Linked DNA regions of Drosophila melanogaster. The protein of the gene in region 1 interacts with the protein of each later gene in a pairwise test. Each region holds a gene or a part of one and is shown on either strand. Other genes may lie near its edges.

Region 1 (8,320 bases):
ACAATATGGAAACGGATACAGAACAGAAAATAGTTTAACAATAATATTGCTGGAATAAACACATCCAAGGTAATACTTAGAACAGCACGTCGTCATCGCCCTCATCCAGGATATTGGCCTGCTGGCGCACATCGATGCCCTGCTGCAGCAACTCCGCCTTCTTGGCGTCGGCCTTGATGCGTGCCTCGCGCTTCTTGTCCTGGATCTTCTTCAGTCGGTAGAACTCCTCACGCTCGAGCTCGTCCAGCTCCGAGATGATGTAGGCCAAAGTCCTATCGATTCGGGGGATGATCACATGCTCAATGGCGTTCACACGACGGTTGGTGATCTTGATCACCTCGTCCAGGGTGACGAATGAGGTCTGCAGCGAGGCCAGCTCCACGAGCAGTTTAACGGCGCTTTGGTAGTTCTTCTTCAGCTTGGCCAGCTGCTGACCACCACGGGCTAGACCGGCCAGTTCGTAGGTGTCGGATCCGTCCTGGTAGGACTCGAAAACGGGCAGAGTGACACCAGCCACGTTGTCCTTCTTGGTGCGGATCTTGATCTGGGCCTTGGTCACGTTTTGCAGCACCACTTGGTTGATGTCGCCAGACGTGAATTTGGCCTCCGCCAGCGAGAAGGCTGCCTCTTTCATAACATCACCCATCAGGGTCTTGGTCTCGATGATCTTGCCCAGAATCAAACGGAATCGCATCTGCAGGGCATCCGCCTTCTTCTTGAGCAGACCGTGACCTTTCTGGGCTCCAGCCAGACGGGCCTTCATCAACATCTGGGCACCACGGGACGGGAAAATCGGTAGCCTATCTTTTCCGGACATTTTGCTGTTTTTTTCGGATGGTAATTGGCTGGACTAAACAATTTTCAACTGCGTATCAAGAAAACTGCAACCGTCGCAGAACACTGAAAAACTCCAACTGGAAAATGACGGATGACAGTGTTGGCTACTGCCCGTAGCCAATCGATAACCAGTTGGTGCTGGGTAGTGCGCTTAGATACAGTACTGCAAAATACGCAGCCACAGCTGATTTTGCATTTAAAAGTAAACAAATCTAATAAATTCCATTTCTTTATTGGATTTATAATGCTTCTGCAACGCGTGTGGTTGACACATTTAAACAACCATCTACGCCAATACGCGAACAAGTCGCGAGCCCACATCAAACCAGCCATGGCCGTGAGCATGCGGATGGTCCATCAGGAGATCCTGCATTATGTAAACCCCTTTGCCAGGATCAACGTGAAGTCCGATGTTTTCCTGCGCATCCAGCCCGCGGATGTGCATCAGTATACCAGCGGGGATGTGTTTATCGCCCAACTGGTTGGCGGCCATGTCAAGAACTCGAATGTCTCTCTCGATGTGAAGGTAACCGATGAGGACAAGGTGGTCAATGTGGTGGTTAAACAACTGGCGGAGCAGCCCTCAAAGCTTGAATGCCATCTGCAAATACCTGTGCGTTCCGATGTCTCTGTGGACGCAAAAGGTAGTGTGCGAGTGGAAGGCATACAGAGTGAACTGCTGCAAGTCAAAGCAAAGGAAGGCATCCTTACCAAAAATATCAAGGCCACCCATATAAACTTGTACAGTGAAAATGGCAACATCAATTGCCAGGGCACATTGCTGGGCAAGATTACCCAAATAGAGTCACAAAATGGGGTGAGAAAAAATTTACTATCAATCTGATCTTATTATTAACCTTTATATTTCTTTTTTAGAACATTGCGATGGATAAGTTGCAAGGAGACAGCTTGAATTGTTCCACCAAAGCTGGCAGTATTGTAACCGATTGTTGTTATGTGGAAAAGTCAAAGTTTCAGACACAAACTGGGCGTCTGGAGCTCAAGAATGTCCACAAAAGCAGCGAAGTGCACGTCCATCAGTCGTCGGATCTCAATATGAGTATGCGAAACAACGAAGAATAACACCATCATGCTAAAAACTTTCAATTTCAGCTGGAGTACATGGCAATATTCAAATAACTACCAAAGGAGGAAATTTAAATGTCCAACTCTCTGAGCTAGTGGGGAGCAACAAAATCGACGCCGAGAACTTATTAGAAGAGGCTATCATACACATTTCCCAAGCCATAGAGCAGAATCTTCACATCGAGGTAACAGCCCCCGAAGTGAAATTGGAAAACGAACTGGAGCATGTAGCCCATGCTCTCAACGAGAGCAAGAACAAATTCGTGCTAAGCAATCCAAATACAAATCGACTGGAAGTAAGCAGCACAGGCGACAAGGGCGTGCGCCTGGGAAAACAGTCATGGAGCGATATGATGCGTAATAAGTTGAAGGCTACCGGCACCTTGGACGATTTACCTTAGGTAAAGACAGAGACTAACTAAGTTAAGAATATATTGTGCTGCAAGCTACAATCTCAGTCATTTTTGCTTTATCCATCATGGAGGCATGTTGTTTAGGCTTGGCCCGACTCCTTAGCCACTTTATCCTTTAAGCATTCAAGTGCCCTTGAGAAAATGGCTTCTTCCTTTCCGGCTTTGAGTGCAGACACAAACAGTTGCACCTTTTCATCGCCAATCTCTTGGAGATCCGAGTTTTCCGCTTTTATCACCATACATGCCAACAGGCGCAGCAACTTCAAGGCGTTCTCCACATACTGCTCCTTTGGAGCGTCATCCTCCTCCTCTTCGTCCTCTTCGAACTCATTGGCGTCGGGATCACTTCCCCCCGTGTAGTTGTCAATGTGCTGTTTAAGTCTATACCACAATTCCAAAAGATTTAAGAAGGCCTCCTTGTGATAGAAGTACTTCAGGCGCTGCAAAAATAAATATTTAAATAGAACGTCGAATATTAAGTATCTTTTCCAAACTTACACTCCAAATGTGCGCCAGATCCTCGAGATACTCCTCCTGGCGTTCGCCTAATGGAATGAGTTGCAGAGGCTGCTGCAAAAACTGCAGTATTCGCGCTAGACAACTGACTATACTGGGTGCATACACATCCATGGAGGCCTGCGCCTCTGGCAGTTGGACCAGAATGGTGCATATATTGAGGTAGGTTTGTATGATCTCCACATCACAGGTTATTTTTGGTCCGCACGAGTCGTAACCGACGTCGGCATCTTCATCACTGTCGTGGGCCGCTGGCACTTCTGCATCTTCGTTGTCCTCGCCAGCTTCCTCGTCGGTCAATTTTGTCTGATCATCGCGCATGAGTCGCAAAAACGCGCTATTGACCCCCTCGCAGAGTTCTGGCACTAGAAAGACCTCCGCAAAAGGCTTTAGATTCAACGTGGAGTTTGCGTTTTCCTCCTCCACCAAGGCGCAACTGGCCAGCACAGCATTTGTGGCCTTCAGTGCAGCTACTAGCAGTTCATCGCTAACGGACAGTTGCAATATCCTGCCCAGGTTCTGCGCGGAGTTCTCAAAGGCAGCAAAGCAGATGTACCAGTTCACAGCGAACTTCTCCTTGCCGCTAAGCACATGGGCCATGATGTACTGAAAGAGTCGCATCAGCTGTATCAACATGGCGGTGTCCATGCAGTATGTCATCTTGAACAGGGTTTCCAACGTGTAGCGGTCACAGGCCAATATCTCTGCGCACTCCACCTGGGCGCACATATTGCCCAGCAGTCCGATAAGAATCTCGTAGAGCCGCACATCTTCACAGCCCGCCACCAGGGTGTACATGATCGGATCAATGGCTCCGTTCTCCAGCAGCAGTGTGACCACTTCGGGGGACACCGACATGTCCCACACTTTGCACAGGTCATCCTCCAGCTGCTGATCCAGTGTTGAATGCCGCAGTAATTCTCCCACCCTCATCACCGTTTTCAGGATGAATCGACTGCTGTACATGGTGTTGCCGACTGCATCGCCGCGCATACGCTCCAGCAGCTCCGCCTCCTCGGCGTCTTCCTGGGCGGGTGGGGGCGTGGTCGAGGCGCTACTGGCGCTGGCAGAGGCGGAGGCGTATGCGTCGCTTTCCTTGTGATTCGAGTTTTCCGCGGATGGCACATCGTTTTGCTTGGCGGCCACCGCAAGACCACTCGCCGATGGCTCCGCTTCTTCCTTGGGCATTTCGATCTGGATCCGGGTCTGGGCAAACTGTTTAACGGGTTCGTTTGGCAGAATGCAGAATGGCAGTGGTACTAATCAATATATTTTGGACAAGATCTTTTTTTTTAGACGCTGTCAGTGGGTCCGTTGGTTCTTTCATAAAAAATACCTTAAGCTTTGGAAAAGTCAGTTCGGAAAAGCTCGGTATCTAAATCACTTTTACATAAGCAGGTCACACTTTCTCGCACTTCGGTGGGTTGATCGTTTAAATATATTGCTCAAATGTGTGATACTTCTGAACTGGGAAAGTTAGTCAGCTGGTTAACAATATCAGTTTACAACTTAAAACAACCAAAACTACCTTTAACTTCTTTGAAAGCAACCAAAAGTGTGGATTTCATTAGTTAGTGAAGGTGCAAACCTAATCATCACCACACGTTGTGGAATCCAATGGAATCCACAAGGAAATTTAAAACATTGGCGCCTACACTTATTAAATATCGTATTATTAGTATGTTTGTTACTAAATTCAAAAATTCCAACAGCAACGTTGCTATAATATTATTCTTTTAATATTATATCTAAATTCGAAAATTCCAATAAAAGATAACATTATTTTATAACCATAACTTTCTATTAATAAATGACTTAGATGTAATGCTAACAATGAAAGGTAATCACAGTTTATGAGGTTTTTGGTTTTCCCTTGAGCAGCAAACTAGACAGATTGCTGTAGGGCAGCTCAAAAGCCAGCGAAAAGGCGATGGAGGCCAGATAAACGATCATCGTAAACCCGCAGCAGATGACGCTCTAAAGAAACAACTCAATATTATTAAAAAGCAAAATCAAATGAGAATGCAACTTACCAGCAGAAAGGGATCAACTGCAGAGCTCGTACTGGTCAGACTGTAAACGAGGGCAATCACCAGGGGATTTAATAGATATATGGCGTAGGACAGGCGGTTCAAATGCTGAAAGAACTTGGCCTCCAGCAGGCGTGACCACCAAACGCCAGTACCCGATGCACTGCCCACGATCATCCAGCAAATGGTGAGGGAAAACAGAGCGCGACCCAGAACAAATAGCGATATGGTGATAAGGTAACCCAGATCCCGCTTCACCGTAGAGTAGATGCAGCCCACGAACACCTTGAGACTGAAATGCCACCACCGGCATATCCGGCGTTCACTCAGCTCACTCACTTGGAATCGCTGCTCCTGGTAATACCATGCGGCTATGGCTCCCACGATATAGGGCAAAACTCTTACAAAGGGACTCGTGTATATCTGAGTGCCAGTCGCATAGGTGGAGTCGAAGGAGAACTCGAACTTCTTGGCGATTCCAATGCCGTAGGACCACGTTATCGTGCCCATTAGTCCAGTGAGTGTAATTGCCTTGGCTAGCTTTTCATGCCTGGATAGAAATATAATGAAAATAATAATATATTTCCTTGCGATTTTAAATCCAAACTCACTTGGCGTAAATAAAGAGCACGATGTTTGCCAGCAGGAAGAACTGCATGTCGCAGGCGAGGCTCCAACTCCAATTGGCGCACATTTCGCGGTGATCGAAGAGGTTCTGGATGAAGAGTAGATTCCTCCACCAGTGCTGTGGGCACAACTCGTCGAATCTCTCGTTGATGTGGAAAACGGAAACGTCTCCGATGTAGGCGAAGGCCAAGTCCACGCTGCCCATCACCACCAAGTAGAGAGGACCCAATCTCAGGTAGCGATGGAACAGCAGCTTGCCAAAGAGCTTCACATTGCCCCACAGGCCATTGCGACGCACTGCGTCCAGCTGCTGCTCATTTCTCAGGAAGTTGTACGTTTGCAAAAAGCCACTGGACAATTTTTTGTTTTCAAATGGATCAGCAAAATACATTAGATAATCGAATGATTATATTTACCTGATGGTAAAGAAGACGTCCACGAGAAGTGGAGCTGTGGAGACGTACTGGAAGAAGACCTGTTCCGCATAGGATATCAGTACCGTTTTGTTGTGCACAGTGAAGTACATGTACCACACGACATGGAAGATCAGAATCCAGATGGCACACACCGATCGCAGACCATTCATAATGGGAATCTCGCCTGGCTGGTTCTCCCTCATGGCGGAGATCTTCCGCCAGTTATTGGCCACATCGAAACAGGACACGAAACTCTGAAAAGGCTGCCACTTCAAGAGGGTATCCAGTGCCTGCCACAACTCTGATTCCACCGGAGCCAGACCCAGATCCGGCTCATCGGCCCTCTTGGCCACCCGCACTTGCTGGGCGCAGAGCATTAGGGCACCGGTTACCAGGATGGCGGCCACCACCAAACGGAAGGTCAGCCTCTGGTAGAAGCGTTCGCTCAGCCGGAGGTCCTTCATGTAGAGCACCTCCGGCTTCATATCGAACATATCATCCGCGGCGAACAAATCTCCGGCCACATAATACCTGGCCAGCTGCTTCACCTCCTCGGAGCTGCAGGAGCTGGGCAGGCACAATCCAATGTGGAGCACCTGTTCGGACATCACCTTAATCTCCACCTGCCACGGTGAGCGGTGGCGCATGTATATCACGCGGTAGTCCATCCCAAAGGGAGCACTTTGCGTGAGGATGCTGTAGTGCATTACTCGCTCGTAGTTCCGCGACAAGGTGATGCCTACGGGCCGACGGACACCTTCACATCCATCCCGACTGCCCAGCCAGTAGTTCTGGCCGAACACAAAGCCGGATGGCTTGGTTCCCGACGCATCTAAAACTAAAGATATACGGAAAATTATATTGTATATATTTATATATATACTAAAAGTTCTGGTCACTCACCCTTCATGGCCCATGGTTGCCTGCTGAGGATTCCCCGCTGCACTTGCTTCAAGTGGGCGTAGCAGCTGGGAGTCACATTGCTCTCGTTGGCCACTTTGGTAAGCCCGAAGATGACGGAGCTCCTGGTGAGATGGGGTTCATGCGGTGATTCGATGGCAGCTGCTTCTTTTCCCCGAATATCCGTTGAGATAATTTCTGGGGACAACTCCAGGCTGCCGTTGAGAAATCCGTACTCGTAGCGGTGCCGTCGCAAAGTGGACTCATTCACGGCTGCATTCACCACTAAAATCCAGATGCTGATGATCAAGACCAATCTCCAGTGCTTTTCCATGCCGAGGAACCGCTAACGAAGCGGCAGCTGTGAAAAGTAAGAGGTGTTTAATTGTTGACCCGTCAATACGAACGCACTCGAGTTACGAAAAGCAAACCGAGTTGGACCTTAAGTTACGTCTACTTCCTACCGGAAAAAATTTACGAGACGCGTAACGAAGTAATGATGTTTTTCAAATTAGTTAACCCTTTAAGATCCCAATCAATTTATTTCCTAATTTCTTATCCTCCTTAAAATCAGCACCTTTTAAGAAACCAACTTTCACTGTTTGTTTAAATTGATCACAGAGGTAACATCGAATGTATCTTTATTGAAATAGCTGTCCAAATAATGCGTGATTTATTCCAGATTCAATGCTTTAATGGGCTAAAGAAACGTATTTCGTTCAGAAACATTTACAATATATATAGGTTTTCTTATATCTAGAACTTTCTTTAGAGAGCTATTTAATGTGAGATCTTACATTTTTTCACTAATTAATATTCTTTACATTAAAAGGGTTAAAAAGGAAAATCGCAGAACATGGAAGTGGTGTGGTGGCCAAGTGGAGGACTTTAGAGCTCAATTCAAATATCAATTAGCCGCATCCGAACAAGTAAGTGCGTCTCAATGTCAGCTGCAATGTATCGGATTAGTTCGATTCACGAGAAATTCGTGAGATACTGTATCTACAATGAACAGTCACCCGAAGGTTTACGGATGCCCGAGGCAAAAACTGTCGAACTTGTCACTTGCGCGCTGATTCATGGAAACTCAATTGCCAACTATTGAAGCCACCAAGTTCAGTGTTATTACCACTAAATGTCTGCAAAGGTCAACGACTATGGCCTGGTACATATTGCTACGATCATTTCATCTGGTGTCTCCAGAATTTACTTGCATACATTAAGCTTGACCAGGCGTATGGCATCTTATTGTCGTTTGCCCAAAGTACTCATTCCAAATAAATTCGTTGTTTGCATTGGCTGATTGAGGTAGAAATTCGAGAATAAGTCCCCCGGGCGATTTGCCAATTTGGCAGCAGGCGTGGGCCAAAAATTATCGAAAATATAAATATAATATGGCTAATGTTTTCTTTGCTCTCGAAGACGTCGTCGAGATTCGCAGTTGTAAGTCCCCAGATAGCCAGTTTGCATTTTATGGCAGCTAATGGCTATTCGA
Region 2 (7,649 bases), on another chromosome or scaffold:
TCAATCTTGTCATGGCCATCCTGATCCACGATTCCCAACTGCAGCAGGAAGGGAGCCCACGAGAGCACAGAGTCTATGGGTGAGGTCCAGGGATCTCCCAAGGCCACCGAAACAAAGTTGCTCTCGATCTCACCGCGCTTGATGGCGTAATCCAACTCCAAAGCGAACTCCGGGGCCATCTTTCCGCCATAACTCTCGCAGAAGATGTGCAGCGGCACAGTCTTGAATTCCGGGTGGTTTGTGTAGAAGCCCTTCATCAGCTCAACGAGATCCAGGGCGATCTGCTTGTTGTTGGTCGTGTAGTAAGAAGATCCGTCCACGTAGCTGAAACCACTGCCCACGGGATTGTCGATGAACATCACGTTCATGTCCTTCACCCAAGTCCAGTCGCGGTAGCTGCCGTCGAGCTTCAGGGGACCCAACTCCTCAAAGTTTCCGTATCCCGTTGAGGAGGCACCTGGACCTCCTTGGAGCCAAATGGCCAGCGGACGCTCCGTGTAACTGGAGACATTGGCGGTGGTGTAGTACAGCCAGTAGAACATGTGGGCGCCAGTCCTGACATCCACAAATCCCCAATCCTGATCACCGGGTCCATAGCCCTTGCGTGCTGAGAGTATATTGAATTATAGCTCATTTCGATTAAATAGTTATTAATATACAAAGCTCTTTGATTTTGTAATTTCATGATAGCCCCTGATTTCTAGGGAACACTTGAGAAATCTAGCCTTTAAGTATATTAAACGGCTGCACGAGTAGCCATTTAGATAAGATTAATTGTTATAGATAGTGTAGATAGTTGATTGTATTGTCTTATAACAAACCGAATAGCGGTTGGTCACTGTATCTTTTACAATGGTAATAAGGTCTGTCCCCAAACGATTCATAAGTATTTCAATCTACGGATATAAAAGTAGGTAAAAAAGTCTGTAACAGATAATTCTGTTGGCCTGTTCTACAAGTCGTAAAGAACCGTTTGTTTTGGAACACTTTCTCACTGATTAGCACCCCTAATTGGAATACAAATCACGATTCTCACCGTCAACGGAAGCCAAGCCGGCAAATCCCAGTAGGGCCAAAAGTGCGATGATAGCGCGTCCAGCCATGTTGCACCAGTGTTTCAGTTCCAATTCCAAGAGACACCGATCGAGAGACAACCGCACACTTGGCAGTTCCACTGCCAATTGATCGCTGGTTGCTCCCAGACATCGAAGGTAAAATAGCAACAGCCAGCACCTGACACACCTGGAATTCGTAATCTGCGGGCAGGGGAACTGTGTTTGCAGAGTATTTATGGCCCTTCGCTGGACGGTGACGCGGCTTTTTGGTCAATCTGTGCTTGTCACTCGTCCGATTTGCCGAATCTTTGTGTCATATATTTAGATAGAGCCTATGAAGCTCCAAAATCATCGCAAAGATTGCACTTTGCTATCTTGAGTGGGTTTTCCGAGGGCTTTTCCTATTATTTTTCGGTATCACTTGCGGTTTATCCCACGTGACATGCGTGAAAGATATCTAAGGTGTCTCCCAAAAACTCTTTTTAAATCATCAGCATTCTTTGATTGATTGACTATATTATTTTTAGGTGTTCATATAATCATATATGCATCAATTCTGGGCATTGCTTTTTAAAGAGCAGATTAAGACATACATTTGACATTTATCAAAATAACTAATAGGATAACTTCCCCAGCTTCTATAAGCAAAAAATCCATTACGATTTACATTATATACTTTCAGTAAAACACTCCTCTATTTTTAGACGAATATAGTATACAACTGGCTTGCATACTGAGTTTATTATAATTCAATTTAAATGAATTTAGCCAAATGAGGTAAACTCTCGAAGTACATGACTCATAGCCGCAGGGTTGTCCGCCGGAGCCATGTGACCACTTCGGTTGATCCAGAACATGGTAAAGTTACCGCCCGTCTTTTGATAGCCCTCCAAGATGCGATCCACCGTGATGCCATTGCGTGGAGCAGCCAGGTACTCGTCCTTTCGGCTCCAGTCCAGCTTGGCTATCCAGTTGACGGTGCCCGGTGTGGCGCAAATCAAATCCAGGCCACCGGAGAATACGCCGACCTTCAGAGGAGTCTTCTCCAGCAATTCGTTCACTGTCATTCAATGGATGTCAGACGCTTTCGTTATATAAGAAGTAATATCCCTACCAATGTGGATGACTGGCTTCATGAAGTCCGTTCTGTGGATGTCAAAAGTGGTCCCACTCTGCGATCCCCAGATGACATTCGAAGGTATACCCAGGGTTTCCGCCACCGGGCCCCGCATCAGATCCTCCAGTAACTTGGTTCGATCCTCATCAATATCGTATTTCACCATGGTGCGATACAGACGTTCTGCAGGGAAATATCATGGTTTGAAAAATATCGTATCGAAGTATTTGGTTCACCTTCGGAGGTCAAGGCCTTTGATCTCTGGTAGAGACCACCCTTTGTCTCCTTCAGCACGTTGTAGAAGTCCACACCCTTGGAGGCTTTCATCACCTCCCACTGGGTGTTGCCCCACTGATAGGTGGCCTGAATCCATCGCTCCTCCTCCACCAACTGAGCCGTGAAGTTCGCTGCCTCTTGAATGGCATTGTATCCCGCGTGGTCCACGATTCCCATTTCTCTGAGAAAAGGTCCCCATGCGAGCACGGAGTCGATGGGCGAGGTCCATGGATCCCCCAAAGCCACCGAGGTAAGGTTGCTCTTGACCTCACCACGCTTCTTGGCGTAGTACAGTTCGAGTGCAAACTCCGGCGCCATCTTTCCACCGTAACTCTCGCAGAATATATGCAGCGGCACCTCCTCGAACTCTGGATGCAGGGTATAGAATCCCTTCATCAGCTCAACCAAATCTAGAGCGATCTCCTTATTGGTGGCCGTGTAAAAGGCCGTGTTGTCCACGTAGCTAAAACCACTGCCTACGGGGTTGTCAATAAAGAGGACATTCATGTCCTTCACCCAGGTCCAGCTGCGCCAATCTCCGTACAAATCGACGGGCCCAAGTTCTTCAAAGTTTCCATACCCCGTCGAAGAGGCACCGGGACCTCCTTGGAGCCAAATGGCTAATGGTCTTTCGGTATAGCTCGAAACATTGGCGGTGGTGTAGTACAGCCAGTAGAACATGTGGGCACCGGGACGCACATCTACGTAGCCCCAGTCCTGCTCTCCGGGACCGTATCCGGGTTTGCCTAGGATGCGCCATTAGTTCATTTAAAGATTACCACATTTCAGAGATAGCGCTCGATTTACGATTCTTACCATGCGCCAAGGCGGCGAACAATGCCAGGAGTGCTACCAACCGAATCGACATTTTCAACTGAAAGTGATACTCAAGCGCACGGGCTTATTTAACGGGTACAGCACTATCAGCAGAACTTGACATCAGATAATAGTTTTTCAAAAATGATAACTTCTATCGATCTGGTTCTTTCAATCATTCAGAAGAGGGATGATAATCATTTTTGAATTTGTATATTCCCTTTTAAAAAGAAGTTGAATATCTGTTTATGTACGTATATTTAGGTACAACTAATGTTGAAACGATAACTTCCTCCATAAATAATCCCTTTTTCATAAACAATTTTACAATATTGTATATTATTATTATAATGGGTGGAATTGTTTTGCCTAAACTAAAACCAAATGCAGATCTCAACTGATAAGACCATTTGAATTCGAATAACTCGAATTATCGGTTATCGATAGCGTTCAAATGGCTGGCAACTCTGCGATGTTGGCTGTTTTTGCACAAACAGCTGTTGTCGCACTGTTGTTGTCGCCTTTGTGTCTGCAGGTGCAAAATAATATATTAATTGGATTAACTTGGGATTAATCGAGCGATCACAGCCATGGCCACGATGCGCATACCCAAACAAAAGGTGATCCTGTGCGGCGACTACGGAGTGGGCAAGAGCTCCCTGTTCCGGCGCTTCGCCACCAACACCTTCATCACGGATACGGACAGGAAATCCACGTTGGGACTGGACCACATCGATAGGGAATACAGTGTGAATGAAAAGCAGATCAAGGTGGGCTCGGGAACCTCTAAAAGGGCGTGATGGCTGAGATATGAATCCTTAAGCTCTTTAGTTCGATTTCTAGACGAAAGCCACAGTTCTTCAGACTTACAACTTATTGCGTTGTGAGACACTTATGTATATACCGTCTTCTTTGACAGCTCCAACTCTGGGACACCGGTGGCATGGAGCGTGTGGCCTCGGTCACATCCTCGTACTACAAGTTCGCCGAGGGAGCCATCCTGGTCTTTGCTTTGGACAACGCCGCTTCGTTCCACTCGCTGTCGCAGCACTTGCTGGACATTGTGACCTATGCAGAGAATGCCAAGATCTTCATCTGTGGCAATAAGAGCGATCTGGATGGCAGGGAGCCGGAGGTCAGCGATGAGGAAGTGGAGGCCTTCTGCGAGCAGTGCCACTCACTGATCAGTGCCACGTACAAGACCTCCTGTCGCAGCGGCGCCGGTGTGGAGGAGATGTTCCGTGACATCTCTAGGCAACTGGTCCACGCCAATCGCTCCAAAATGGAACTGCAGGCACTGGAGCACAAGAGCTTCCAGGTGGACACTGCGAGCAGCGGCGCGGCGACCAACGAGGAGGACGCCTCCTCCTGCGGCTGCTAGCAGTTGGGGAACATTGAGTTCGGCTAGGAACCCTTATTCCCGCCAGGCTCAATGCTCACGCAGAGATGCATTTTTACTGTTTCCTTTATTTATTGATAGCTTTCGGCTATGTTATGATTTTTAGATACGTACATGTTCAATTCGAATTTTTACGAAAAATACGTCCCGAACGCGAACACGAGTCATAGAGTAGGATTAGTTTCTATTAACCAGGCGCCAAACATTAACCACTTAAACTTTGTACACGTAAGCTAGGATGGCGGATACGCGAGTGATAGGTTAGAAATCTGCGGTAAGAATTAAAAAGTAATAGGAATTCCATCGATTAACAAGAAGGTCAATTTAATCTTAAAGGTAAAAGGACAACAAAATATATAGACATCGATTGACCGCAGATAACTACTCTAAGCTTCGACTCTTATTGCACGTAATACTCCATCCTATCTTATATAGATTAGTGCGTAATCTGCAGCTTTCTTCCACAGAATATCTCGTAAAAATAAAATATACTAAACAATAAATAATCAACTCACGAAATTGGAATGGACAGGCTTCTATAACATTTGAATTTGGGCTAAGATCATTGGCTATTGGTTTGCTAGCTAAAATTACTACGACGAGGCGGTGCTGCTTGAACTGGGTGCGAAGGTCAGATAGAGACTGACGCCCACGGCCACCACAAAGCAGACACCCACTCCATACAAGACCACCTTCTCCCGCAGGGCTCTTAACATCATGGTATTCAGAGTGCGAGAAGCTCTTCCCAGCTCGGCATTGGTTTCTCGAAGTCGAGCCCTGGCTCCCTGTAGAGTTTCCCTTTGGTGGTGCAGATCATTTAGGACCTGGGCGCCCAGTTGCTCCGTCTCCAAGGCCACTCTGTACCCTTCGGTTAACCTGTTGCCCGTCCGTTCAATCCTTTCCGAGTTGTCCAAGAGGCGTTGGCGTTGATCTGTACTTATGGACACATCCTCATAGCTGTCACCCAAGTCCAGAGTGGTGAATGTGTTGGCTTGGGAGCGCTGTTTGTCCTTGGTCAACCTGTACTCCGCCTGCAGCCGTTTCAGTTCTGCCTGGGCCACCTGCAGCTTTCCGTTGAAGCTGCTCCGCAGTCCAGGATTTAGCTCCCTCACCTCCAGACCCATCTGCTCCAGCAATTCCTGAGCCTCGGGCAAACTGGAGTCGATCTTGCTGCACAAATCATGGCGCTCGCCTGGAGTAAATGGACAAATGGTAATCACCATAATGTACAATCCATGGACAATCATCCCACTCACTGTTGTTGTTTTGCTGCTGCAGCCGTCCAATATGGGCCGTTATTTCTGCTATTAACGTGGCGTATTGCTGTTCGTATTGCTCCAGAAGCGACATTTGTGCGGTTTTTATTCTACCTTATTCAGTTGTTTATGGTATTTGTTCTGTTTTAGTTCGCGAAAATTACAGATTTATCGAAGAAAAGAAGTAAACATTGTCCAAGTGTGGCCGAGTCATGAGGTGAACAGTAATACAGCAATCTATAAATACTTTTAAGTCGTGGTCACTCTGATTTCGAGTCAGCGTTGCCATACTCATGTAAAAAACACTGCCAACTTCAAGGACTACAATATTCTCGTAAGAACTCAGATAAAACCAACTTCCGTTTTAAATACGTAAATAAAACACAAACATATCTATTATTTTATAAATTCCATTTTATTGTACTTAGAGTAATTAATAAATTAATTAATTAGGTTCAGCTTTATGCGAGTGGAGATTCTTTGTTAACCTAAGCAACTGTTTTGGCGGTAGTACGATTTAATAATACTACATGATACATATGTACACTGTTCATCACATTTATGTTTTGTGCTGTCCTGGTCCGCGATTAGAAAACTCTTAACCCTCGACCAGTGTGGCCTTGTCCCCTTTTCGGAGCACCAGTTCCAATTGGGACAGCAAGCCAATAGCCCGAAAGTTCTCCTTGAAGAGCACGAAGTCCTCCAGCGGTTTTAGGTACTCCAAGGCCTGGTGGTAGCTTTCCAACTCCTTCAGCATGCATAAAGCCTTCTTATCCTCGGGGTCTGGGGATGTGTGTCCATTGGTTTGGCTGCCGGAGGAGCTGGATCCATTGGGGATCTTTTTTGGCGAGGCGGGAGCAGAGGCGGGTTTGGTGGACGCAGCTCGAGCTGGTGCAGGTGAGTCCTTTCCCTTGGAAGAAAGGGCAGGCGTGGATTTGCCACTTGTTCCGCCTCCCTTGGGGGCGTTCTCCTTGCTGCTGGCACTGTCTCTTCCCCCGCTATTATTGTTGTTCTGCTCGTTGGGACTGGAACTTCGACTGTGCTTGCTGGTTAAGGTTGATTCTGCTAGCGGATATGGTGGTGAGTTCACCGCTGAGTTAATCTCTTGCACTTCGTCATCATCGGGTGACTCCATTTTGGGTCTCTTGGCCAACTGAACGGGCTGGAAGGGACTGGCCCGCTGCGGTGGAACATTTGGCGGCAATTGGGGCTGAAAGGGTTCCCTTTGAGGTGGCATAGTGGGTGGAAACTGTTGCATCTGCTGCTGCTGCTGGAGTTGCTGTTGCATTTGCTGTTGATGCCGCTCGAAATAAAAGTCGTTGAAGCTGGCGAACCCGGGGTGTGGAGTAGGATGTCCGGGATGTCCTGGAAACGGTGGCCATGGGTGGCCCATTTGATGCTGCTGCTGTTGCATATGTTGCTGCTGGAGGGCAAAGTGCTGCTGTTGCTGCTGCTGTTGCTCTTGATAGCTCTGCTCCTTTACATCCATACTGTCATCATCTTCTTCGTATTCTCCGTACTGTTGCATGTAGGTCATGTACTGCTCGGGCATCTCCTCCAGTTTGGCCACTCTTTCAGCGCTCGCGGGCGGAAAGAGATGGGCTAGGTCCTGTACGATGTCCGGGATCCACAGGGAGGATCCTAGTGGCTTCAACTGGTTGCTGGCTAGTTTTTGGGCAAAGCCTTGAAGATGAGTCTCTCGGAAACGGTTTAACCAGCGATTGTCTGCT

What was found.
Region 2: the proteins of CG30467 (region 1) and RabX6 interact in a two-hybrid assay, tested with the Drosophila melanogaster proteins (one large-scale study listed by BioGRID).

What each region holds. Positions count from the first base shown.
Region 1 is NT_033778.4:15,534,034-15,542,353, reverse strand, and holds CG30467 (uncharacterized protein), read right to left. Parts: upstream 4,180-8,320; 5' UTR 4,041-4,179; coding exon 2,835-4,040; intron 2,801-2,834; exon of another isoform or gene 2,777-2,800; coding exon 2,417-2,776; 3' UTR 2,340-2,416; downstream 1-2,339. Other genes in the region: Vha36-1 (vacuolar H[+] ATPase 36kD subunit 1), read right to left, coding at 77-817; CG8187 (uncharacterized protein), read left to right, coding at 1,082-1,654, 1,714-1,897, 1,951-2,324; CG30471 (uncharacterized protein), read right to left, coding at 4,704-4,829, 4,886-5,432, 5,494-5,859, 5,926-6,763, 6,829-7,159.
Region 2 is NT_037436.4:686,766-694,414, forward strand, and holds RabX6 (RabX6), read left to right. Parts: upstream 1-3,751; 5' UTR 3,752-3,854; coding exon 3,855-4,034; intron 4,035-4,183; coding exon 4,184-4,645; coding exon of another isoform or gene 4,646-4,672; 3' UTR 4,673-5,186; downstream 5,187-7,649. Other genes in the region: hiro (highroad), read right to left, coding at 1-607, 1,037-1,103; CG32483 (uncharacterized protein), read right to left, coding at 1,820-2,115, 2,170-2,355, 2,409-3,194, 3,265-3,316; Vti1a (vesicle transport through interaction with t-SNAREs 1a), read right to left, coding at 5,257-5,855, 5,920-6,013; CG13894 (uncharacterized protein), read right to left, coding at 6,518-7,649.